Astyanax mexicanus: one gene and its partner. The protein of the gene in region 2 purifies or fractionates together with the protein of the main gene of each other region. This does not show direct contact. Links are inferred from orthologs where the notes say so. Each region holds a gene or a part of one and is shown on either strand. Other genes may lie near its edges. The genes, in order: obi1 and cnot1.

The links.
Region 1: the proteins of cnot1 (region 2) and obi1 purify together in Homo sapiens (affinity purification with mass spectrometry; 3 studies listed by BioGRID and IntAct, with this or other methods). This does not show direct contact. The link is inferred for Astyanax mexicanus from reciprocal best matches to the Homo sapiens genes CNOT1 and OBI1.

Annotation. Positions count from the first base shown.
Region 1 is NC_064412.1:53,329,550-53,342,660, reverse strand, and holds the start of obi1 (ORC ubiquitin ligase 1), read left to right. Parts: upstream 1-6,523; 5' UTR 6,524-6,649; coding exon 6,650-6,721; intron 6,722-7,721; coding exon 7,722-7,857; intron 7,858-8,213; coding exon 8,214-8,308; intron 8,309-8,606; coding exon 8,607-8,828; intron 8,829-11,041; coding exon 11,042-11,130; intron 11,131-12,249; coding exon 12,250-12,455; intron 12,456-12,908; coding exon 12,909-13,111. UniProt on the Homo sapiens protein: E3 ubiquitin ligase essential for DNA replication origin activation during S phase.
Region 2 is NC_064417.1:4,144,841-4,158,154, forward strand, and holds the start of cnot1 (CCR4-NOT transcription complex subunit 1), read right to left. Parts: upstream 5,098-13,314; 5' UTR 4,963-5,097; exon of another isoform or gene 4,910-4,962; intron 1,388-4,909; 5' UTR 1,193-1,387; coding exon 1,091-1,192; intron 724-1,090; coding exon 616-723; intron 1-615. Other genes in the region: kdm7ab (lysine-specific demethylase 7B), read right to left, coding at 12,598-12,686.

The DNA of each region.
Region 1 (13,111 bases), on a different chromosome or scaffold from region 2:
ATACTTGTAATGATGCTTCTCCCCAGCTGTGGAAGGACGGGGCCAGTGGACGACAGCATTTCCATAATAATCCACCCTGCGCTCCCAGGGGCCCTCTGACACTGAGGCGTGTGTGTGTGTATGTGTGTGTGTGTCTGTGTGCATTGGATCCACTCACAGGGCATCAGCTGTTCCGTAAAGGGGCACAGAGTGCGTGGGGCATTCACTCGTCTGAGCCCGCCTGCAGGCCATGCAATAAAACCAGCAGCTTCAACAGCACTACTGCAGAGAGGAATATATATAACAGAGAGAAAGAGATAGAGAGAGTGGAGGGAGGGAGAGAAAAGGGAGAGAGAGAGAGAGAGAGAGAGATTTAACTTTTAATTCTAATTTTAGGAAGCAAAAATATGGTAACACTTTACTAACATTACTTTTACTGTCTATTTTTACAAATGTAATTTTTTTTTGGCCTAATAGGAACCTAGATGTTATTCTTTACATTGTGTTCAATTGTCATGATGCATGGGTCAATAGAAATGCTCAAAAATTGCTTTGATAAGTTATTTTTTTATTTCACTTCCATTTCAAGTTTTTTTCGCATTATTTTTCGTACTGTAAGCGTTCTTAAAATCCAGTTCGCCTAATTTATGAATTCTACCATTGAGGTTGTAAGGAGCAGTAAAGCATTGTTATACAGAAGTTTCAGTGAAGTTTCTCCAGCACCGAAGCTGGAGCAGTATTAGCATTAGCCGAGCATTAACTGCACTAAGCGCTAGCTCTTTTGCCGTTCAAAGGTGAGTATATTGGACTGTAACCTGCCGCTAACTCCGGTTAGCACAGCTGGAGCAGCATTAGCATTACTTGCTGTTGGGCCTGCAGGTCCCGCACACTTGTAGGCTGCAGAATCTGGCACCCAAGCTGTTTCTATAAAAGCTTGATTGGTAATAAATCTGGTAAACAAGCAGGACAAGGCAGTGTTACAATCTAGCAGAGCCATTCCGGTGAAACCCTTACTGTGTGTGGGTGAGCATTATCCTGCTGAAAAATATGACCCCAGGATGTCCTGTACACATCACTTGGCTGTTAGTGTTCCTTATAGTATTTCTACTAGGGGTGACTGATTATCGTATACAATGGCTCCTTAGACCATCCCATCAGCATTTGGGGCAGTTAGTCGCTCCACAGCAAAGGCAGGACTGAAGCACTCACCATGAGGCATCCATCCTCAAAAGCTGTTTATTCTGATATAACAATAAAATAAGTTGCTTCAATGCATTTTTTCTTAATTCATACTTTACTGTAAAAGTAATTATTTTCATTTACAAACCGAATAAAAAATTTGATTATATTTACTGCTGCCAGTTCTATATAATTGTTTAACTGTTTATTTTTTAAGTGTAGGTTGCATTGTTTAAAAGAGATTAAAGCTTTTGCCTATTTTATTAGATTAAATAAGTAATTTTATTGGCACAAAAGTTAGTCTTAGTTAATAACTAAGGGATAAGTGTGCTGATCCTCAGGATAATGGGGGGCAGCAGCTGCTGTTCTCCTGAACTCTACCCTGCAGAGAGGTGATGGAGCTTAGGTGAGCGTCCCACTGCTACAGCGAGTCGCCATGGCACTCTCCTCCATCTCCACAGCTATCTCCATCAGGGGCATCACTAATCAATACATTCCTCCTGCAGGGGGTGGGGGCAAAATGTCTAAATCACCACAAGAGTTCAGCCACGGCATGCTAAGCTAATCCTGTTCAGCCAGAGTCACTGAAAAACATACCAGACTAGAGGTAGCGGAGCGTGTCCCTATCTGTGTGTATCTGTGTGTGTGTGTGTGTGCAGGGAAACAGGTGGGGGGCAGGACAGAGGGAAGGAAGGAGGGATAGAAGGCTAATTAATGTAAGCATTTGTCAGTGATTAAGCTTTAAACAGAAAAGGTCAGGCTAGCGGTGGAACCGGGCTTCTCCCCGATGCTCTGCTCTAAGGCAGTCTAAACCTTTCCAGCCTAAATGGTAAAGATGCCATTTCGCCGTGTGTGTGTGAGAGCACGCGTGGAATGGGGGCTCAGGCCGGACGCTCGGGTCACCCTCCATTACCCCGGCCAAGCTAAATCTGCCGATCTGTGTCATTTAGGGGATGAAAAATAAGGCCCAGGACGAAATCAATAGACGCTGGAGTCTCGACCAGCTGTGATTAATTGACTGTCACCAATTAATGAGCGAACGATTACAAACCACTGGACTGAGGCATGTAGGGGGTGAAATATGATCTTAGGAAAGATTGTGGAATATTTTGAACGTTGACTATTCTTTATTTAGACACTAGAGGTTTTTAGAATTTTTTTTAATTAGTTTTTTTGTCCAACATGTGCAAGGAATTTATGTAAAGAACTTTAACATAAAAATATGTTCATAAGGTTTTTGTAACGAAAGTAAACACAAGATTACAGAAATTATTAAAGAAACACTTACTTTTATACTCCAACTAGGTCTGGGCAATGTAAAGTATATATCAATATTCAGATAGTAAACAATTTTATGCAAGATATAAAATTGCCACGTTCATTATTTTTTAAATTTGTAATAAGTGTAATATATGCAAATTTGTTAATTCCAAAAAGGTGCATGGGTTGTTTGTATGGTCTCATTTCTAGAGGGATGTCCAAAGTAAAGTATAGTGCAAAACATCACCATTAAAGGTGGCGAGGTCAGGCAGGACACAGCGGAATATTCCTTTTAAACACTGAGACAACTGAGACATGGCATCATCTGAGGTGATGATTCACTGGGATGAATCATAGTTCCTGTAAAGTATGAAATCACTGCTGCTTTAAAGTTCTGAGGCATTACGAGAACATCATGCTTTTAGGTGTCTGTCATGAGTGTGCATGTGTGCATTCCCATTACTGTGATGTCACTAACAGCACAACACAGAGATACTGCATGTTTGAGGCTTTTCTTAAATGACTTCCATAGTTCTGCTAATCCGTAACAAGACCACCACTTTTGAAAAGTGTGGGACATGATGTCTGACCAAATAAGAATAAAATAAAAAAAGTAAGTCTATGCAATGTACAATCATAATTTATTAGTCGATTTTGTTGTTAGCTTTTTGGTTAGCTTTTTTCATTGATATTCCGGCTTTAATGTCTTATTTACACTAATGAAATCATGGTGGATTGGTCGAGGCTAATATTTACATTGTTACACTGCGTTAAACAACAGTTCATACGTTTTGGTGAGAATGTGTAATTGCAAAGAGCATGATGGAAATTATTAAGTCTTTTTTATGTTGCCAGCTCTCTTCAATTCAAATTTTGTGTGATTGAGCAGATGAAAACTGAGTTTGTCATTCTGATACCACCATGTTTACAGTAACTACGGTAGTAGTGTCATAAGCAGCAGCATATGGCACAAGATGGAACAAACTGTAACTTGCAAAACTGTCTCTTAAAATTATATTAATAAATCCAAAGAATCCTCTGTTAGTCTTGTCTTTTTTATGTTTTTTTTTTCCATTGTACTGTACCTGTACCGAACCGTAAAGTCCAAACCATGGTGTGAACTAAATTGTGACCTTTGTGTACTGTTACACCCCTAGGTATATGTAATGGCATATGACTTATTTCAGGGAATTTAGTAGAGTATCCTCATGCATTATACACAATGCTGACTCACTCAAGAGCAGAAATACTGACTCAACACAGGTCAGGAATTTCTTCATGCTCAAGTTTACATTATTTCATATCTTGCTGAATGTCCTGCATGCATTTTTAAAACGACAACTATATACTGGTGTAGTTTGGGTTTCTGAAGCAGAGAGGACACATTCTGTGCAGTTTTCTTGTGTCTGAAGTTACTGTTGACATGTTTTCACTTGCACAGAAGACTCATACTGTGGGTGTTACAGTGGTACGAAAAAGTGTGGGCACCCCTTATCATTTTCATGATTTTCCTTTATAAATCACTGGTTGTTTGGGTCAGCAATTTTGGTTAAATGTATCATATAGCAGATGAACAAGCAAATTAGACAGATGCATACATTTGGACACTCTTGTCATGCAGAGGGCGCACCCATCCTATGGTCATCTTAAAAGCAGATAAATGAAAAAAAGCTATATTGGCCTTTTAATAAAGACACAGAGACATTTATGAATATGGAATATGTATGAAATACTATCTTCATTTGGAGATCCGTTAAAATGTTTTAATACTTTGGTATACAGTACTACCATTAAAACTCCAACCTTTCAATGCAAGTCCAGTTCATGTTATTAACAAAGCAAGCCGAGCCAATATCATTAGAAAAGCCACTGGCGTCCTGCGGTTGCCCTATAGTGATCTGCTTGGACATAGACTTGTCTGTAGGACATACACCACACAATGTTTTATGGTTAGACAGTAGTGGATGGTGTGTTGAAATGAAACACTTGCAATAAATGGCAGTAATGCAGTTCCAGCATCAACGTTATGCTGCAATCAATGTACAACACAGTTTCCCTGTGGTTCAATTCTAATCAGGTTAGGTCACAAGGGCTCTAAGATGCACTGCCATTAAACTACAAGACAATGAAGCCACAGCATGTTTCTGCCATTTGGCAATGAGTTTTTCAATTCAATTCAGCTCAGTTTTATTTGTAGGACACAAAAGCCCAAAGTGGCTTTTCTAATGAGCATCGCCGAGGGAGAGAGGGAAAGAAACTGCCGGTGAGAATCAGGAAGAAACGCTGAGAAGTACCAAGACTTTCTATGAGTGAGAGGAAGAAACACTAGTGTGGGCTGCAGAACATAGTATAATAAGGATACAAGCCAGACAGCTTTTTAGGACACAGGGACCGTACTGAACATGGGTAGAGAACTGAGGGCTGGGGTCCAGCTCAGTTTGGTTTCCTCACTCTACACACCAGCTAAACTTTCCAATTAACAGGTGAGTTGAATCAGGTGTGCCCTCCAGGGCTCCTGATATAAGGGTTGGAAACACCTGTGCTTAATAACACTAATTTTGTACTCAGCTAAACTTTCCATGTTGGAACACATTCATTATGGTGGATAAAGAACACAGTGGAATCACAGACTGTAACATCACCAGTGGTGGACTAAAAAAGGCAGGATATTCCCAGCTAAGAAAGAACATATTAACGCATTTCCATCGATGTAAAACTGACACCACTCTGGTTCCCAAACCTAATTTTGAACTGTTTGCCACGTTTCCACCAACAAAATAAATTTCAGAACCGAACAGACCTAATGGTTTTTACAAGCCCAAACGGAACTGGTTCAAGAACCAGAGTTCTTTTGGTGGAAAAGCGCTCTATAAGAATGTTTAGCAAGGTTGTTGAACCTTAAACCTTAAAAGTTCCAGGAATGTTATGAGAATGTAACATAATAATATCTGCAGCACAATGTTATTAAATTATTTCTCACATAACGTTTCTAGTTAGATGAACACTAATGCTATGGAAATGTTAAATGTAACAATACTCAAAACTAAAAATAAATACAATAACACAAAAATATTCTAAGCACATCCAGAAAACCTAACCCTAATTAACCCTTGATGGGGCACAGCTGTTAACTGAAAGCCATGAAAGCTTGGTGACTACCTCATAACGCCAAGATATCTAAGCAAGAGGTGCTACTTTAAAGTATTTAAAATATAAAACAAAATCTGGTTGGTTTATTATTTTTTTGTTTTTTAAATTTCTTTCTCATAGTTTGAATGATTTTAATTTAAAATGCTGATTTTTTTTAAATAATGGTACTGGTACTGTGTATGCTTAGCTTATATTGACTGGTTCACACTATTTTGATAACTCAAAAATCCTGCATTTGGTCTTCACACTGTAACAAAAATACAGTTTAATTATTCCCAAGTCTTACCAGAAAGTCTTGTTGTCCTTTCCCTGTGTCCTTTTAGTGGATAGTGCTGTTAACAAGCTGTAGCCGGGTTAGCTTTTAGCCTTGAGTGATTAGCTGGTGTTTGGGAGTTAGCTGAAGTAGCTAGCTAGCATTGGCTACAGTAGCTGGGTTAGCTTTGCTTTTAACTGTGAGAGTGACTCTGTGAGAAATGACTTTCAGGTTACAGGTTATTTTAGTTATTTTTTAATATTATTTATTTTTATGAGTTTAGCAACTTAGCAACCTAAATTTTAAGGTCTTAATTCTCTTTATATAAGTTACATATATTTGACATAACAAAAATAGAAGGAACGTCTGAAAATGTTCTTAATATTTGTTTGCTAAGCTAACCACTAGCTAATTTGTTAGTTAGCTATCTAGCTTCCAATGTTTTCTCTAAACATTTTATATGCCTGTTGTGTATATACAAATATAAATATTTATGCACAATTGTTTAAAATATTTATATATATGTATATATATATATATATATATATATATATATATATATATATATATATATATATATATATATATATATATATTTAATATTATTTTCATTTAATTTTTTACCCAAAAGTCCGTAGCAGGGTGTGTGTTTATTTCCCAGCGCTGCTCAGCTCAGGCTTCTCTCTTCCTGTGGAGATTTTGAATCGCGTTTGGTTCCTCCGGCTCGCCGTAGCGCGGTTACCGGCGCTGTTTTGAGTGTGTGTTTTCTCCTAACGCGCGGAGTTTACAGGGTTTTAATCTGCATGTGTTTGTTTTAGAGACTGAAACATGGCGCAGACCTGCCAGAGCGTTACCCTGTCTTTAACTCTGCCCATCTCCTGCCAGATCTGCCTGGGGAAGGTAACTAATGCAGTGAGATTACTGAATTAATGAAGCAGGAGCTGCTTTTGTTCTGCCTGCTTTCACCTCACCTCACTTACCCAGACTCATATACTGAACTCCGGAAAAAAAAGAGATAACAGATAACTAACATACTATTAAACTGTTAAAGTGTTTTCATGTTTTATATTTAGTTTCTGCTTTTATTCGTTGGTTAGTTTGGCTAGTGCTTTAAACCTCTTGCTCTGATGCTCTGTGTATATTTTAGTGTGGTGCGGAGAGGCTAATACCTGACCTGAAAACAGTTTAACCTACTAAAGTACTTTAGCTTAATGAACTTAATAGTTAAAACAGTCAGTAAACCCAACTTATTTATTACTTTAAGTAAGTACACTCCTCTACTGCTGCTCTATATTACAGGATAAACCTAATTATTATTAAATATTACCAATATAAAAGGAAAGACTTAGTATTTGTACAAAACAGTAGCATAGGAAAACCTGACTTAGCTAACTAGCTTACTTATTTATTGCTCTTGTAAGTATCCTTCACTGCTGCTCTCTACTGCTGTAAGGTTGAACTTTGGTCTAATTGGAAATAAATACATATTTCCAATATAAAAGGAATATATAAGACTTAATATGGTTTAGTGTACGAAAAAGCAACATATGAAAACCTTAGCTCACTAGCTAGTTTACTTAACCTGTACTCTAAAATAAAGTCAATATTATTAACAATATTATATTATTTTTGTTCCTGTTGATACCAGTTATAAGAAATAAAATGTGGTTTAATATACTAAAACAGCCACAGAGTTGTCTGATCACAGATTATATAGAAATGCTATCTAAGAATTGTGATTTTGGCTATATTGCCCAGCTGCAGTGTCTTTTCTCGTATGTATGTATGTATGTATGTATGTATGTATGTATGTATGTATGTATGTATGTATGTTTATAATAGAATAAGTAATTTAAATAACTACTATTATTGGACTCACACAGTTGTCTTCTCTCAACAGGTTCGCAAACCCAAGATTTGCTCCAACAATCATGTGTTCTGCTCGACCTGCATTGACGTCTGGCTTCAGAAATGTAGCCAGTGTCCCACCTGCAGAGTGGCCATCACCCCTGAAAACCCATGCAAAGAAATCATAGGTAACAAGCTGTGGAAGTCCACTGAAGTCCTGCCATGTCTAGTCCTGTTTGTAGTTCCTGCTCTTTTTAGTGGCAAAAAATTTAAATTAAATCAAGTTTTATGGTAAATTAAATATGTTCAGAACCCTGTATGTTTTTGTTTTGTAAGCATTGTTCTCCTTTACATAAGTGGATCTTCAGTATTATGGCAGTATTATTAAGCAATCCCATCATTCAAATAGTTCTACATGCATGCTAATGCTACTGTGCATCAGTTACACCAGAGTATACACATTATGTTTATTGAACATTTATTTACTCTACATTGCCACTGCATTGAAACTGTCTTATTTATCTATTTTTTTATGTGATAATAGGAGCAACAAATGATGACAGCGAATCAAACGAAAGCCACTCAGTTAAGAAGCATCTCAGAAAAACCCGTGGGGAATTAATACTGCAAGAATACGAGGTTTGAAAGTTATGCTTTGCTTTTTTATGCACCTGGTACTTCAGTTTAATTTGTATAATTTTACATACTTATAAGTAAATGTCTCATAATCGGCTATATATTTTTTAATAGTTGATTATTTCTGTGTTTATTTGTCCTTCAAAAGAGCTATAGAAAGTTTCTGATCTGCTGATTGAAATGGTTATTAAATACTGATCTGCATAGAGTTTAGTTCTTCTTTTAGCTGTTTAACACCAGCTAAGTGTTTCTTATGTAAGGCACCCAGTCTGATTCACTGGATCACTGGTCTAACTTTCAGGATGAAATTGAAACCCTACTGAAAGAGAACGAGGAGCTGAAGAGCAAAAACCTGAGCCTCGAGACGCAACTGAAGACTGCTCTGGAACCCAGCACCTGCTTCTCTTCTCAAAGTGAGACTGAAGCCGTTGACCCGAGAGTTCTGGAGGAATCGGCCAATAAACTCAAAGCTGCCAATGAGCTCTATCAGAAAGTCAGACAGGATGTGGACAAGCTGAAAGAAGTAAGATGTTAATGTTTTAATATTCGCTATACAGAAAAGCCAAGCATTCCTAAAGGTTTCAGAAAGCGGTTTTTGGAGTGATGTCAGGGAATCTGGAAGTATGTGGAAGTGCCAGTGGAAAGAAATTTTTCACTTCAGTTTGAGAAAATAAATAAATAAAACATAACATATAGTTTCCATACAAGCACAACACAATTTAAGCGTCTTTAACTGACCGGAGATTGATGCTGTGTAAATCAATAATTAAGAGGTATATTAAAGTAAAAAGCCTCAAGAAATTTTGGCAATGTAACACTGCTAAAAACTTTTTGTTAGCAAAGCTTTACAAAGCAAAGTGAGCAAAGTGAACATTTTACCTTAATTAGGATTTATGAACAATTATATTATTAGAAAAGTGTTTTAATGAACAGTTATTTTAATTGATTATTTAAACATTAATTGTAATGTCACAAGTTTTTAGTTTTTTCTTTGGCACAAAGAAAGTTTGAAGGACTGTTTGTTTGCGCAAAATGCATTATCAAGATGTATTTTTTTACAATGCTTCTAGTAAGGAAAATGGTACTTACATTTAGATTAGATTTAAATTAATTGCCTAGCTTAGGTAGTGCTGGGTGTAATTTTAAAATTATTGATACAGGTATTGATACAATACTTTGAATTCGGTACTGATACCCAAATTATACTTTTTTTTTTCTTTCTAAATTGTAAAAAAAAAATGCTGCTTGATTTCTTTCGAAATAACCAGTTTATTCTAAACAGCTGTTTATTAAGTGTGCCAGCTGATGACTTGTGCTTCTTCTAGGCTGAAATTAAAACATGCAGCCACACAGCATCCCAATGTGGACTGGTTTAACACCACTCGCCCAGCTGAAGGAGAAGGGGTCCTCACTCTTATCCACAAAGAGCCATTGTGACTGCAGGTTTTCATTCTATCATGGCAGTAGCACATTTAAAAACCTGTAGCCATGCTGGCCTTTATAAACAAAATTTTTGTATAACATAAAATGCAATGATTTACAGGTGCAAGCACATGTGAACAGTTTTTCTTGCCAAACACGACAAATTGTCACTTATATCTCTGTGGTTCCCTGTATTATTTCAACACAAAGCTGACTAGGTTGTACATTCTTTTCCCCCCACACACTGAGCCTGAATCTCAGATGGCTCCTTATTCCTTACTACACCGGTCTAAAATAACTGCTTCTGCACCCAAACAGTGCATAATGTGTCTAACAGATAGCCGTTTGGGATTTATCCACGTGTACAATAAATCCCCTGTGGACAAAGTGCTCTATTTCAGTGTAGAAGAATCCAGAATTTCACAGCTCATATAATATGCTGATGCACGGATCCAAAACATTATGACCATACACACATGTTATTTGAGTCTAAAGAGTTTGTGTTGTACCTGCTCTGTAATGCCAGAGAGCAGCTATTATTTGGGTGGTGGGTGAGTCTCAGAACTGCTGGAATGAGAGGCTCAGACACAGCAGTGCTGCTGGAGTTTTTAAACATCCCTGAGAATGTTATACCAACCAGACACAGTGTCTACAAACTCCAGCAGCACTGCTGTGTCTGAGCCTCTCATACCAGCACAACCCGCACTAACACCTCATATACCACCATCATTCCACTGTCGCAGCAGTCTGTAATTATACAGCTACAGTGTGCAGCTGATGAATTAGGCAGTGAATATAGAAACAAAAGGGGGTGCTTTTAATGTTATGGCTAATCTATGTATTGTTGCTGTCAGAACAATTCTTTGTACCAATTTGTAGAAGAACAATCCAAACTCCTCCTTTTTTCCGAGACCTTTCAGAACATCTCCGTTGGTCCATTCATCATAAAACTCGTTTTCTAAAAATTAAAAATGTAATTTTTGAAATGCAAATGTGTTAAAAATTCTATTGAACTGGCACTGGCCAGAGCGCTGTTCCTGCCAGGCTGTAGATCAGGAAAGCTCATAACTCAGTGTTTGGCTGTTATATTATTCAGCTGCCTGCTGTAATGAAATGTCCTGCTACTTGTACCGGTGTGTAGTCCTGGTCAAGCGGGCTTTTCTTCACAATGTATGAACTTTTCCTGACCCTGTCTCTGCGGAAAACGCCTGCTTTTACATGACGGCCTCGGCGGGTTCTATTGACTTTGAGCCGCTGAGTTACTTAATCAAAAGGCTGGTGGTCTGAAGGCAAACTTGCATTCTCTCCCTTCAGGCTAACAAGACCCTGAGGTCCCAGAATGTCGACCTAATCCAGGAAAACATGCGCTTGAAGGCTGAAGTGGAGAGCAGGTCTCCTCAAAAGTAAGCACAACTTCACCATTGTGCACTGATAACTGTGTGTGCGTCTGTGTGTGTTTCCTTTTTTTTTTTTTTTTTTTTTTTTTTTTTTTTTTAACAAATCCTCCAGCATTACAGTTACCGTCACTCTTTCCCCCCCTTCATTATTCCTGAACAGAGCAACTACATATGTGGGGTGTGAAAAGCAGTATCAGGTTGAAGGTGTCAGTTCCATGACAGATTATTTTTATTATTAATTTAATTATTACAAAAATATTAATAACAAAAAAAAAATTACAATGGTAGGAGCAATATGGTAAAAATATTGTATCACAGTATTTCAAGAAATACGCAATATTTAGAAAATGCAACCTGAAATATAAATATATATATGTATGCTGTACATCACTATAACAAAATATACCAAACTTTAAAACATATGTTGCCCACCTACATTTAAAAAAAAAATGTCTCAATTAAGGGTGGGCAATATGGCCCTAAAAATAATATGTTATTTCAGGGTATTTCTGCAAAAACAATATTCTAGGCAATATGACATTTTTTAAAATTAATTTCAAGAATATACTACTGCAACAATATCTTCGTTTTATTTAGTCTAAAAATTAGTTTCATACATTCAGTAGTTCAAATGTAATAAAAAAAAAGTTACAAAAATAAAGTAATTTGACAACAAAAAGCTACCACAAAAATAAAGTGCACCATATTTAATGTGTGCATTTAAACTGCTATAAATCAATTAAAAGTAATTACAGTAAATAGCAAAACATACATAATGAATGGTTTCAATGATATTTAGTTATCTTACAAAAACAAAATCTAAATTTGTATGATATTACTATTTTCTCAATTCATATTTATTTACAATGTTCTTAAACAATACATTTTAGTAATGTTTAACTAGTGTTAGAAACGTGCGTTTTGAGAAGTAATCACAGGATGTTGCACAGCTTATGTGGTTTTCAGTTGCAGGCATTTGCTACTCGGTTGGTGTGTGGTTGCTAGAATGATTGCTGTGGTATTTTAGGTGGATGCTCAGGTGTTCTTAGGTAGAATGATGTGTGGGCGTGAGTTTGTGTACGTACATCAAGCTGTTTATGACTGTGTATAACTTTTTAAACTCAGGTTTGGCAGGTACACTGTCGCCGCTCTAGAGGCGAAGATCGTTCAGCACGAGCGGGAAATGACTCAGCTGAAGAAGGCCCTGGAGCGCAGCGACAAATACATAGAGGAACTGGAGGCCCAAGCGTCAAAAAGCCAGAAGGGGGGTGACAAAAACTCAGAAGATCCACAGTCCAGCGGCAGCGTCTCTGGAGAAACGCAGGCTGGAGGTAGGACTGAACAATTTATTACCTGTTCCAGTAACAAAGTGAAGCAGCCACAGGTCTACTACTTCTTCTGGCTTATTGTAGAGTGAAACATCTAATTTCTAATCTAATCTAAACTGTCTTTCCATCTCCAGTGTCTGTTGCCAACAGTTGGATTTTCCTGTGCTAGTTAGGCCACATTTTTTTTGTTTTCCTCCTGAAATTTTAAAGTTTTAAAACCTTATTCTGCAATATTATAAGAAGGTGGAGATACACTTAGGAATTATGTGATTGATTTTCGCCAGCGGCTGCAATTATAATAACATGATGGCCATATGATTTTTCCCCAAATAATATTTAATAAAATTTACACATTAATGATACTATATGTTTGGTTAAATCAGGTGTTTTGAAAGCAGAAAAAACGAGAATGATAACACATGACCGTATAATCACACTTTTGTGTTTCATCTACAGTTGCGGGAGTGGCTACAGTGAACAGCAGCCGGATAGCTACGATGCGGAGGAGCCTGAGTGAAATGGAGGAGGCTTCTGTTTGCACAGATTTGGACAGGAAGTCCATAAATCTCCCTAACAACCACGGCTTCTTGCTTACCACATCTGATACGTGCCACGGCATTGGATTTTTGGATGAAGCTTCAAGCCCACAGAAAGATTTA
Region 2 (13,314 bases):
ATACACAAGAATCAGTAAAGAGTGAAACAGTCAATAATAACTGTGCTATAATGCATACATTACAGCCTACTGTGGACAAATATGTAACATACAGAAGCACGGAAAGTTAAAATAAAAGATTATACTACAGCTGGTCCTGAGAATGTCAGGAAAATTGTACAAGTTAAATAACTTAAAATATATAAAAATAGATATTTTCAGGCCTAAAGTTTCTTGCAACTCTACAGCATGTTAGCATAAAGGTTTGCAGTATTAATAAGAATAGCAATCTTAGTGTACAATTTCAAATTCCCAAATTAAAGTACATGACATTAAACTGCAAACAATTCAACAAATATTCCCCTAAAGCTTCAATAGTACATATTTTAATTCAGTAAACAATAGAAAATAGAAAATAATAGAAAATAATGCTATTACTACAATATGGGTGTTTTTAATCACTATATTACAATGTTACGACATATACAATACAATTTAATACAACATGTTATAGCCCTACTTAGCAGTAAATCCATGAGCACTGAGTGGAAAGACATTCCTGTACCAATCAAACCAGAAATGAAAGAATAAACATTAAAAAAAAAAATCTAACTAGCAAATAAATAAAAAAGGTACCTGGTGGAAATCTTTCCCACTGCTTTTACCATCGCCACTGAAATCCACATGGGAAAAGAGACAGCGTAATAGATGCCTGTCTGCCTCAGGGCCGTGACGATTCACAATCTGAGATATAGGGAGAGTGAGAGTGTGTTCCATGCCCATCAAGTAAGTGTGACCTTCACAGCCCTAACACTTATTACATCTGTGAATGACATACTGCACTGACTGCGATAAAGTAATCCACAACTGAGATTATTTGGCTTTAACATGTCCCTAAAGCCTTATAGACAAAAAATAAATAAATAAATAAAAAAAAATAAAAAACACAATGGCTGTCTGTAAGATATTGTGATGCTAACAAAACATTAACATTACATGTTTTTGTAAAATATCTTAAAAGATTAAAGCATAAACAGTATAAATTAATGTAGAAAACATGGCTCCATTATTGATCTTCATAATCAACATCAACAGCTTAACAGAAACTCACATGCTGTATTTCTTGCTGGCTGGCTCTGTAGTTTTTCTTAGTTAAATTGTCCACCAGGTAGCTGATTTGAGACAAAGCCAGCGAGAGCGAGTCAAGATTCATTGCTGGTTGGGGCGGAAGCAGGCGGCCGAGCACGGCGCAAAATCACCATTATTCCCCTTTAGTCACTTCGGTGATAGGTTACTTCTGCTCCCCCCCCTCCCCAGGTGTGTAATTGTCCGTGTGTCCAACAAGTGGCTTCTGTCGGTGGATCCTGATTCAAAATACGGTCCCTTACTGCAACTTCAAGAATGACATCTACAAATGAAGAAAAAGAAAGAAATATTAACATCTAGAAAGGGAATGACAGACCTGCAACACGGAAAGAAAGTTTAAAAAATCTTACAAATAATTTTAAAATGGTCCATTTTATAGGTGAACAGCAACTAGATCAAATTACTGAGATACAAAATTGATAAATGTATTTTACGATTATTAAAACAGTAAAATTCCATTAGAATACAGGTGGTAACGTGCTACAAATATCACGCTAATGTCTTTTTTTTGTTTTGCATATTCTTTAACAATGACGATGTCCACAATATGATTAGAAAAGGCAAATTTCCTGACAATTTTTTTTTTACTAGCTTTGTGACTGATCATGCCAGGCCTATAGGTTTCAAAGTATGCATGTACAAAAATCTGAAGTTTATATGCTGACATACTTGGAAGACCTACTCCCACAGCAATTTTACAAGTTAACCTGCAACACTATACGTTTTTGTAGTTTGTAGTTCTGTAGTTACTGTGAGAAGTCAAACTGCTTGTAAACACGTATGCATGTAAACTACTTAATTCACCGCTGCTTAACCTGCCATGGTAAAAAACAGCAATAAAACCTAGTTTCAGTTCTTTGGTTTCTACTAAAACCACAACTTTGGCAGCAGCAGAAGTATAGAGAAAGAGAAACTTAAGGGTGCATGCAGCTGCATACCCGGAAGCCATGGCAATTCTACAGTTAGGTATTGGTCTTTAGATTAGATTGGTCTAGAAAGTACAATTTCAAAAGGAGATAAAGCTACAGTCAACAAGCAACTGTGTAAACACAACTTACTTAATCAGTTATTTTACTTACAATAGAGCGGTTCGTGCGTACAAACACACTCTGGGACACACAGATGCGAGTAGTCATTTACAGTACAAACCAAAACACGGTAAACTCGAACCATTGCTTGTCAACAAGGTGTCTAAACCCTCTTAGCTGTATAGGCAAGGCTATATGTAATAATAACATTATCGAGTTCATTTGGCAAGAAGAGCCCATTAAACATTAATTTCCATTGTTACAAATCTTATATGTCACAACAAATATCTAAATATTTCCTAATTAAAAGTCTGTGGCTGTTTAAAAATAAATGTTTATTTTATCAGTGTTAAGAAATTGTCATACGAATCAAATGTTCAATGATTTATTTTTGGCACAATATTTGTGAAAGACCTACTGTATGAAATTTAGAAGCAAGACCTGCTTTACTATTTACCTCTACATCAATAAAATGTATAAATCCTTTGTCAAAAATCTGTCCAGGAATCAATGAGGCCACTGCTATTCCATTCCTAAGACATCCTTAATGTTTTAGTTACCACTTTATTCCACCTCAAAAACAAGAAATGACTAAAAGGCACCCAATTTCGACAATTTTGGAGAATTTATTGAGAAAGGAGACAACCCAGGTGAATATAGTGTTAAACTGATATGTTAAACCATATCAGTAGTCAATTCATTCATTCCCCAGACTGACTAGCAGATAGCTAAACCTAGCTTGCTTGGTTCCTGCAATCTTAATTTAGTTTATCCACATTTAAAAGATTGTAAAACCACGAGTAAGGAAGTAAATAAACTAAATCTTAGCTTTACAAAATAGTTAGCCATAAGAGGAAAATTCTACTGCAGACTGAAATAAACAGCAGCCAGCTAGCTAGCTTGCAGGCTAACATGCTAAGGTAACAGCTGCATCATCTCCTATAAGGCTAGCTAACGTAGCTACTTAAATATGATGCGTCTAACAATGGTGAATACGCCAAATAAACCTGATTTATTCCGATAATTACAATAACAACATATTTTAAAACCTGCTGCCTGCACATTTTAGTGCTTTTTCCTGCTATTTCAACCGTCAGAACTGACTGGTGGAAGCTAGCTACCATTTTAGCTAGCTAAAATAGAAGATGCATTATCCTGTAATAACCATATACTAAGCGTCCAGTGCTTTCTCAAACACAATCTTCTGGAATCAACCGTTTATTTATTTGTTTAGCCAGATGGTGCTTACAGTCAACCCCAAGAAGTAAATGGTAGCAGCTAGTTAGCAAGTTAACCCAACATGCTAAAGCAGCAGCTGCCTCGTCTTATAATAAATTTAGATTTGTTTTTTTTAACGGCACACGAGTGTTTTTTTACAAAATAAATCTTCTGGAGTCCAGCGTGTCTACATATTTGTGCTTTCCCTGCCCTAATACAACGTTTTCAACTTTAAGAAGAGCTTAGTGGCTGGTCTAGTGGTGAGTAGGAAAACACCAATTTGCGCAAAGTAACGTTACAGTGAATTACTACAATCCACTGATTTAAGCTAGCTAGCTAACTTACCACTTATCAAATAGCTATAGGTTAGCTAATTTGTATGTTTAGCTAGACTAGCACAGCTAAATGTTTATTCATAAAGTGCCTGTCTAGATGATCTAACCTATTTAGCTAGCTAGTTATCTAACCTACTGCCTAACCTGGTTAAAGTTCACGTCAGCCAGAAGACCCTTCTCAACTTCAGAAAAACCTTTGTTTCCAAACTGAGCTAGCCAACCAGCTCTGTTCACCTGCTAAAAAAGCGTCAGAGAACTACAGCTCAAGGCCTCAGTTTCACATCTGTTTATTTTTAATATCCCCGACGAATAATCCATCATATTAAGAGTTTAACAGCTAGCTAATCTCGTTATGTTAGCTAGCCACCTTCTATGGTTATCCTCTGGAGAAACGGAAAACATATCGGTCCACTGCAGACAGGGCCTTCAGCTAGTTAGCTAACCCAGCTAACTAAGCTAGCTAACGCTAAGCTAATGCTGGAGCCTTGAACCATTAAGAGACCATTAGTGCTAGCTAGCAAGCTTGAGAGCATAACATTACTAGCTAGCTTAGCTAGTTAACACACATGCCATGAATGCTGGCTATAGTTTCGCTTGTGTTTTGTTTTTGTAAATTATACGATTTAAAAAAATATTTCAATCACAATTTGAGCAGTTTATTTCGTGTGTAAATGAGTTAAATTATGTTAAAAAGCTCAGAAGTAACTAGATGACTGTAAACCTAAGCTTGTGTTCTGGGCCTCAGCTAGCTTAGCTATCGAAGCTAAGCTAGCTAAATACAGTAAAACTTGAGTAACGTGAATAATGTTATCTAGCTAGTAATTATAATTTTATTATATCTATAAAAAATATCTGATATTTATAAGTTGTGTTCACATTTAAACAGAGTGAAAGACAGCTAACTAAAAGGAGTGATCTGTAGTTAAGTGATAAACACGCTAGAGTTGGTAGGTATTAGCTAGCTAACCGCTAGCCTAGTTCCGTGTATCTGCTGCAGTGCTCTCAGACCGCGATGTTGCGTGAATCCGCCCCCGCCTGCCTCGCTCCGCTGAGCGGCTGTAGAGAAGCAGGCTAGCCGGGCTGACTGCGCGTTGACGGTAGATTAGCACTCGGCTAACACAGCAGCGCCGCACGATAACAAGACTAATCTAACGTCCGCGAGCGGAACCCAAAACGAGAGCAGAGCTGAAACGCGTACGTTACCTCCGTTCACACAAACTACGCGCCGCTGATCGTGTGTATTTTCTCTCTCTTACGTTTCTCGGCTCGGTCTGCTCTGGTGAAAGGTCGCTTTCCTCCCCGGTGCTGTTCGCTTTTTCGAAAATAAAATGGCGACTATCATAGCTCGCGCGCACCCAGCGGCGCTGCTCTTCTTATTAGCGACGTCCTGACTCGCGCACGAATCGGCTCGTTTGAACCGATCTTCGTGAATCAAATACGTAGAGCTGATTCAAAAGCTAACTGTGTTCGGAATGGTTCACTTATTAACACATTCACTATTCACTATTCACTAGATACAATATACAGCTCTGAAAAAATTAAGAGACCACTTACAAATGATGAGTTTCTTTAATTTTACAAAATTGAAAATCTCTGGAATATAATCAAGAGAAAGATGGATGATCACAAGCCATCAAACCAAGCTGAACTGCTTGAATTTTTCCAGGAGTACCAGGAGTAAAGCAGCATAAAGTTATCCAAAAGCAGTGTGTAAGACTGGTGGAGGAGAACATGATGTCAAGCTGCATTAAACTGTGATTAAAAATCACTAAATATTGATTTCTGAACTCTTAAAACTTTATAGGTATGAACTTGTTTTATTTGCATTAATTAAGGTCTAAAAGCTCTGCATCTTTGTTGTTATTTCAGCCATTTTTCCCAAATTCTTAATTGATATGTTGTAATTTAGAGCACTTATTTGCAGAAAATGAGTGCTCTATTTAATGAGTGCTGTATTTCAGAATGCTTGGGGTGTAGTGAAACATGATGTACATGGACGAGTACAAACGTTTGTCGAATAGTCCTGTTCCATTTACCCCAAGCATTCTGAAATACAGCACTTGCTTCAACTTACAATGCTAGCAATAGGGACATAGAATTACCTATGCAAAGAAATCTATATTTTTACACCATTAAGCTCAAAGTCAAAATTTTGACTTGTACTGTATAATAGCATTATGATATAACAATGTAATTACACCCGTTAAAGAGCAGTGCACTTAAAATTAATATAAATATCAGATATTGTGACTGGAATATAAAAAAGTCAAAATATTCTAAATAAATAAAAACTTAATAAAACCAATAAATTAAGTCAATATTTGTGTTAATGAGATCTCCTCCCTAGCTAAATAAATACAATGCCTAATTTGAAGTCACATAAAATTATTAAAGTGAAAATGAAATTGTTGAGACAGGGTCATCTGTGGGGCAGTGGAACTGTTCTCTGGAATAATGGTGCTCATATTCTATTATTATTGTAATATTATTCTTATTACAATTTTTTTGGAATAAGTTTGGGGGTTTGGAGATGGGGTGTGATGGTCAACTTACATTCCTTCATTGAATCATATTTAAAGACAAATTATAAATATGCAGAGTGTTTAATTTAGAGGATAAAGACAGGCTAATAATTTAAAAATAAATGATAATGGTTTTGTTTATTAAGATACAATAACAAAATAACTGGAACGCAGGGGAAAAAACAAAATGAGAAAAAAAGGAAATGTGTGATGATACCATATAGGTTATTACCACATACATATATAACATAAAATATATTTTACATTTTAGATCAATTGATAAGTAAAAATAATCAATAGGTATTGATTTGAGAATCAGTGACTCACTGAATTGAACATTTGATTCATTGAATCAGACAGTTGGAAAGAATCGGTTTAAATCGAACCGAATCACTAGTTCGTATGGTCGTGCCCGATGCGCGCAGCACAACAACCTATCAGATGACGAAAAAATATGACAAACAATTCTGTCAGTTATAGCATTTTATTAAAATATGCATAACTTTTTCAAACAATATTTGCACATAAAAACAGCATAATCATCTATATAGCTGTAACTTGTGTGGGTAAAGTAGGTCATTATTATTATAGAACATTATGAATATTTCTTAAGGTAAAAAAAAATATGGGAATTTATGGGATTATTTGTCCTTTGGTACAAGCAGCATTTGCAATACAGGGAGGCTTTTCACCTTTAATTTAAAACTTTGTAATGCAGTATATCTTAATGCACTTAAAAATAAATTATGAAATATTTTTAGTAGTAGTACAAATTTATACTTAGACCTGAGTGCAAATAATAATAATACACACTCCTAAACACACCTGGGTGCAAAAATCCTGTGCCAAATAATATTCTTTCATCAAACATGGTCTTCAGCAACAGTCCAAATGTCTGAAAACAAAAAAAAAACTCATGCCCATAAAAAAGGGAAGGCTCCAGGACTTTCAGTTTGCAGTTTCTACAGTGTGCATGCAGAAGTTAAGGGGAACTGTGGAAATCTGGAAGCACAAGAACACTGAGAAAGGAGTTTATATGCTGGTAATATCAACAAAACCACCAACTGAGTGACAAGAACCTGCATAGAAGTTTATTTGCACGAAGAGGGTGGAGCACTGTTCTATTGTGCAGTGTTGTTTGTTCAAACATAATCGTATTGAAGAGTCGTAAAAAAATACTAAGCCTGTGACCTCCAAGTCAGTGCTTAAAGTATGTATACCACACAACACAGGTTCATTAGGAAAATGGTAGAAGGCTGTGAAGCATGGGGGTGGATACTTCAAGTTAAGGTTTAGGTTTAGCAAAACTGGCAATATTGCACAGTTAGAGAGAAGAACATTTTTTCTACAGAATACCAGCACGTCCTGGATGCAAATTGTCCCAGAACATGCTATTATTACACAGGTAGATAAACAATCTGTGCAGCAAGATTACTTAATAATACCTTTATAAAGAACAGTTGAAGTTCCCAAATGGCTTTATTTTAGTATCATTTAATATAGCTAAAAAAATAGCAAGCACACAGGATCACAATAAGTTCTCTGTTTTTGCAAGATAACTTGTCAAGAACGATCTTCCCCCCAAAAGTCATTGTTCACAGTTTTAGGCTACGTTTACATTACCAGGCTGAAGTGATTTAAATCAAATTGTTTGCACAATGTGGCTCAGATCAGATTTTTTTCACGGCTGTGTGAACGTATAAATTCCGATTTTTTCAAATCAGATTCATGCGTCTTTTTGCTTTTACACGTTAGCATTAGCGCTACGTGCTTCTCTCTCGTACCCACACATCTCTTGGTGCAGCTGTGCAGCTATAGCTAATAAAACAGCAAAAGCAAACCGCCTGGCCTTTTCTCACCTCCTGGACCTGAGCATGAACTTCAGAGCAGCTGTTTACTCTCCACTCCAGCAAAAGATGCTCCACATATGAGCTGCTAACTCATTATTTAATGTGGCTTGTAATGTGAACGTAGCCTTAAACTAGTTTTTTTTTTTGTCTAGTTAGGAAAATACACATGCTTATAAACAAATAAAAACTAATCTGCATTAGCCATTTCCTCTGGATAAAAACACACATTTCACATTAGTCCTTGCATGAGCACAGCTCTCAGTGCAGAGTGTGCTAAGAAAGGCTTTCGTAAAAGCAAATCCACACTGACCAGAAGGATTTGTTCACTCATAAATCTTTTAATATGTACAGGCCGCATTGTACAGCTGAAATCTCCTATTCAAAAGATCCAATGCAATTTGTAACAGTGTGACGAGAAATATCTGGCACAGAATAAGGTAAAGAAAAAACAAACATTCATAATTCAGAGCATCAAATCTAGGGAAGTACACACTATGACCAACAACACTTCCATTTGGTGTAAAACTGACAGCAAGAAAGGAAAAAAAAAAAAAAAAAAAAGAGAACAGAGAATGCCAAATAAATACTGTACAAGTTAAAGTACTGCATGATACAAGCCCTGCCTGCAGGCCAGTAACATTGTTATGACATGTTATGAAAGTTTGCAGAGATGTTTACCAATGTGGAGCAAAGTAGTGTGTGTGTGTGTGTGTATGTGTGTGTGTGTTACAGCTACATAATTATGTAGGCAGAGCTTGTTTAGTGCAGGATTTATGTAGAAGTTGGCTGATACACACCCCTTAATCAAACAAAACATCATCCCAAAATACATATGCATGATATGCACTTTAGCCTGCATATACATATATGTCAGACAATATAGATATAGCACCATAATAAAATCAGGGTGAGGGTGAGGGTGGAGGATGTTATGAAGGACATGAAGTTAAAGCCCCAGGCAGGTTTTGATGCAACTGGAATTCGACACCATTCTGGACAACCCTGCGAGTCCTGGGTTTTATATCTGAGGTGGTTGAGGCTGCTCTTCAGGATGCAGTCAAACAGGTTCAGGACTATTATAGGAAGGGGTGTTGAGACAAAGACAAGCACTCTGCAGTGGTGGGGATGGGGTGGAGAAACTCTTTCCTTTGTTTAGAAGATAACACCAAAGCTGTATGGAGATAAATTAGTGCAAGCACATTAAACCTCACCAGGCAAACTTCATACAAACACACCAAACAAAATCGTCAGAACGTCAAATCTAACCCTGAACCTGTTGAACAGTCTTCCAAATTAAATAATGTTTGTTTTCCTGCAGTTCCAAGTCCATATAAATAACAGAATATCAAAAGTTTTTTTTTTTTTTTTAAACAGTCAAATGAGCCCTGAGCATTTTTCACTGTACCTCATTAAGCTGTGAAGTGAGTTCAGTAGGGAAGTGGAAAATGTGATTTCTGGAAGCCTGGAGGAGAGACTTTTATTGCCTGAAGAAGACACTGTTTTTAGTTTCCTAACAAAGCATGTGGAAAAATACTAACCTGAACTGACCTCAGACCCCGAAGAGTTCTCTGATTCTGAAACAACGTGAATGGGAAGACTGTAACCTGTATTAACCTGAATGCAAACAAAACAAAATAAAACAAAAACAGAAATACAAAACCGGCTCATTTCATTTGCTGCTGGTGATGCTTTCAGGGCCCAGCACAGATCCCTGAGGGACACCACAATTAAAGTGAATGGACTCGAACCTCAAAATGAATATCGTAACATTATTTGGCATTTCAAAAGGGACCAAATCAATGAGCTCTGGCCTGACAATTACCTGAGGTTGTTCAGACTAAACAGAACCCGAGCAAATTCTGTCAAATTACACACACACACACACACACACACTCACACATACAGGGTCTAATTGTGTCTCACACAACAAAGTCATAGCTATAATTCAAGAAAAATGGAACCCACACACAAATGTACACTTTGTCGGTGCAGTTGCAAAACTTTTCTCTACACGGATTAAGACTCGTCTTAGAAAAATAAATACTCTTTCAATTCTTTGTAAAAACACCAGCCATAGCCAAATTCAATTCAACACAAAAAAAAAACAGCCCCATTAATATACCAAACATTCTTGGAAAAACAATTATTCCTCTCATTATTTTACAACACTCAGCACCAATTCAGACAGACAGACAGTGTTTCAATTCATTCGAGCTTGAGGAGACTTGAGGAGAAGCTTATATTCGTTGGTGGTGGTGTTGGTGGTGAAAAGGACATTGCTGTGAGAACTAATCCCAAATTGATCAATAAAACAAGTAGAAAGCAGTTGCCACAATCAATATATATCAGCAATGTTAACACTTCTCGACACTAAACCACTGTCCACGTTAGTTCTGTAATGGGGGAAGGTAGGGGAAGAGCTTACTGTGTCCCAAAAGGAGCCAAAACATTATGACCACATCACTCAAATGAATAGTGTTCAATCCTGGTTCTAGGCATGTGCTAGACAAGGTGTGAAGACTTGAGGAACTTTTGTTAACTTGTACTGGGTTAGACTGTGTTGGAATGACTTCAAATGACTTTAACCCTCTATGGCAACAAACAACTTTTTTTTGTTGATTATTCAATCCCTTTAATCCTTGTTTATGTTTATTTTATCTTATTTTATATGTCACAAGACACACCTCCATTAAATAAAATAAAGAGAAGAATTTGGACATTCTCTTTGGAGGTGGAATAATCTTTTTTTTTTGCAACCAAAGCCACATGGGATGCAATACTAGTAATTGATAAGAAAAATATAGTGTTTTAACATGTTTCACTTTAAAGACATTTACGAAAAATAAAACATGTATATGAGCAACAATATGTAAAGAAATATATTGAGGTATTAATTTTTTTTTGTTTTAATTTACGTTTTCAAAGTGTTTTAATTTGTTGACTCAGGACTTAGCAGTGCTTATTATTCAGTTATAATAAAACTCATGCCACAGAGGGTTAAAATGGTCAGACTTCTGTGGGGCAGCTTGTGGTTAGCAGTGGTGTTTACCTATCTACGGTGTTCAGAGGACTGATGACAGGTTGCCAGGCTCACAGAAGCTTACATGCTTATGGGACTGTGTAGCAACAGGCGGTTCAGAGTACCAAAGCAAGCCCTTGTCCACTGCCAAACTATTGTTTTGGCTGCATGCATTAGTCTAAAGGCATATAAGGTGGATGGCCATAATGTTTTGGCTCATTGTTATCTCCCATTAAAAAAATAAAAACTTTATGCTACAATTGAGGTCATCTTTAAGACTGTAATACATTATATGTACTTGAAGTACATGCAAAAATGAAGAAACTATCTAATATGATCTAATATGTTTTGCAGTGTGTCAAACAAAGCTCCTCATCTTGGTCAGCGTATTCATACTGTGTAACAAGCAAATCCATCAAACAAAATGAAACAATAGCAAACAAAAACAACCATTCATATTCAAATAAAATAAACAGTAATAAATACACAAATTTAAACAACAAGCATTGTGAATACAAAAAACAACAAGAACAAATAAAAACAAGCACCAAAATTATTTTAAAAATGGAATAAATTAAAAATGTTTGTCTTCTTGTTCAGCTCCTCTCGAATAAATTCCACAGTACATGCACTCTCCCACCACTAGGTGGTGCCGGAGAACTGAAGAAATGCTTGACTGTTCAAAAATGTGGTCATTTGAGTAAAAATGTGGATGTAAAAATGGTGGTAATGCTGACGAAACAACTCTTTCTCTCTCTTTTTATTTTTTTTGAGGCCTCTAAAATGTTTAAAAAATTGATCTGCTGAAAATGATCCGCTGATTAAAGCCCTCCTCTCTCCAGCTTTGAGAATGAAGGAGCAGGTGGTACAGCCAAGTCCTCCTGGAAGTTTACTGGTAGTTTATTTCTTGAGCAGAAAATGAAATGAGAAAGATAAGAAAGTGGATTTATCGTATCTTTCTTTACACTGAGATTTGATTGGCAGGTCAAGCACCATTTCAGGAAATCATTTCATCACTCTAATGCAATCGGCTTGTTTTAAATTCCACATATTTGCAACGAACATCCGAGAAGTCGTTTTTAAGAGCAAGAGGCAGTTGAATAGTGTGATGTACGTTGCTGGAGAACACTTCCAACTTCTCTGTGGCGCTGCATGACCAGAGAGATGGCAGTAAATCTTAAAATGCAGAGGTTTATCCTGAACTCTTCTCCATGTAGATTTTCCTATGTCTTAAAATGTGAGATGTTTTTCCCCGTCAGATTTACAACTGCAAACTCTGCTGAAATCAAATGAAGTGTCATATTCTCTGCTGCCAGTAGATGGCTGTGTGCAGTAGCCCCACTAATGTGCTTCTTTCTGGTGGATTCAGTGTGTAGAAGTGTGCTCTTTAAATACCCTGTCACCTAACAGACACACAGCAAGAGTGTGTGACAGAAGAGCTCCATCTGTCCGGAACACACACACACACGCAGGAGGAGGAGATGCTGCTGCTTTCGGGTACTACACGAAGAATGATTTATGCCTGCTGAGCTTGAGAATCTTCCCCAGTCTTTGTTTGGCTGTGGCCATGCCTTTCTTGGGACGTTTCCCTAAGTGAAAAAAATAAAAAAATAAAATTCACACACTTAAATTGACACACAAATTAAAACCTACCAGTTTCCAGTCCAAATGTTTGTGAACAGACCTTCTAATGAATGCACACAGCTACTAAAGTTGCATATATTGCTGACTAAGCTTGTCCAATGCCTGTAGAGAAGTACTGTTAATAGAACAGGACACTCTGGGGCAGATAAACATGAACCAATTGGCACCATGTCTAAATGTCAGGTGTGGGGGTTAGAGGGGTATATAGCCCCCCCAGCACTGGGATGTGGAGCTGTGAAACAGTGTGCTCTGGAATGATGGCGCTCTTGGGGTTTTTAGAATGAGTTAAGAAGTTGGAAATAAAGTATGGTGATAATTACTCAACACCCTGACCACGAAAAATGCAATTAAATTTACATTTAAAAACTGCTGTTAACATGGTGTGAACATTTAATGCTGAATCAAAAATTTAAACATAATAGTGAAAAAAAAAATGTGTGTGGTCATGCACACAAAAACACACAGAGCTGATTGCACATTTCCTCTTTTCACTCTGTAATGTGGAATATGGAGCTACACTGGAGTTTATTTTCTCCATTAAAACTCTCAGTTAAACTAAATTACTTAACACAT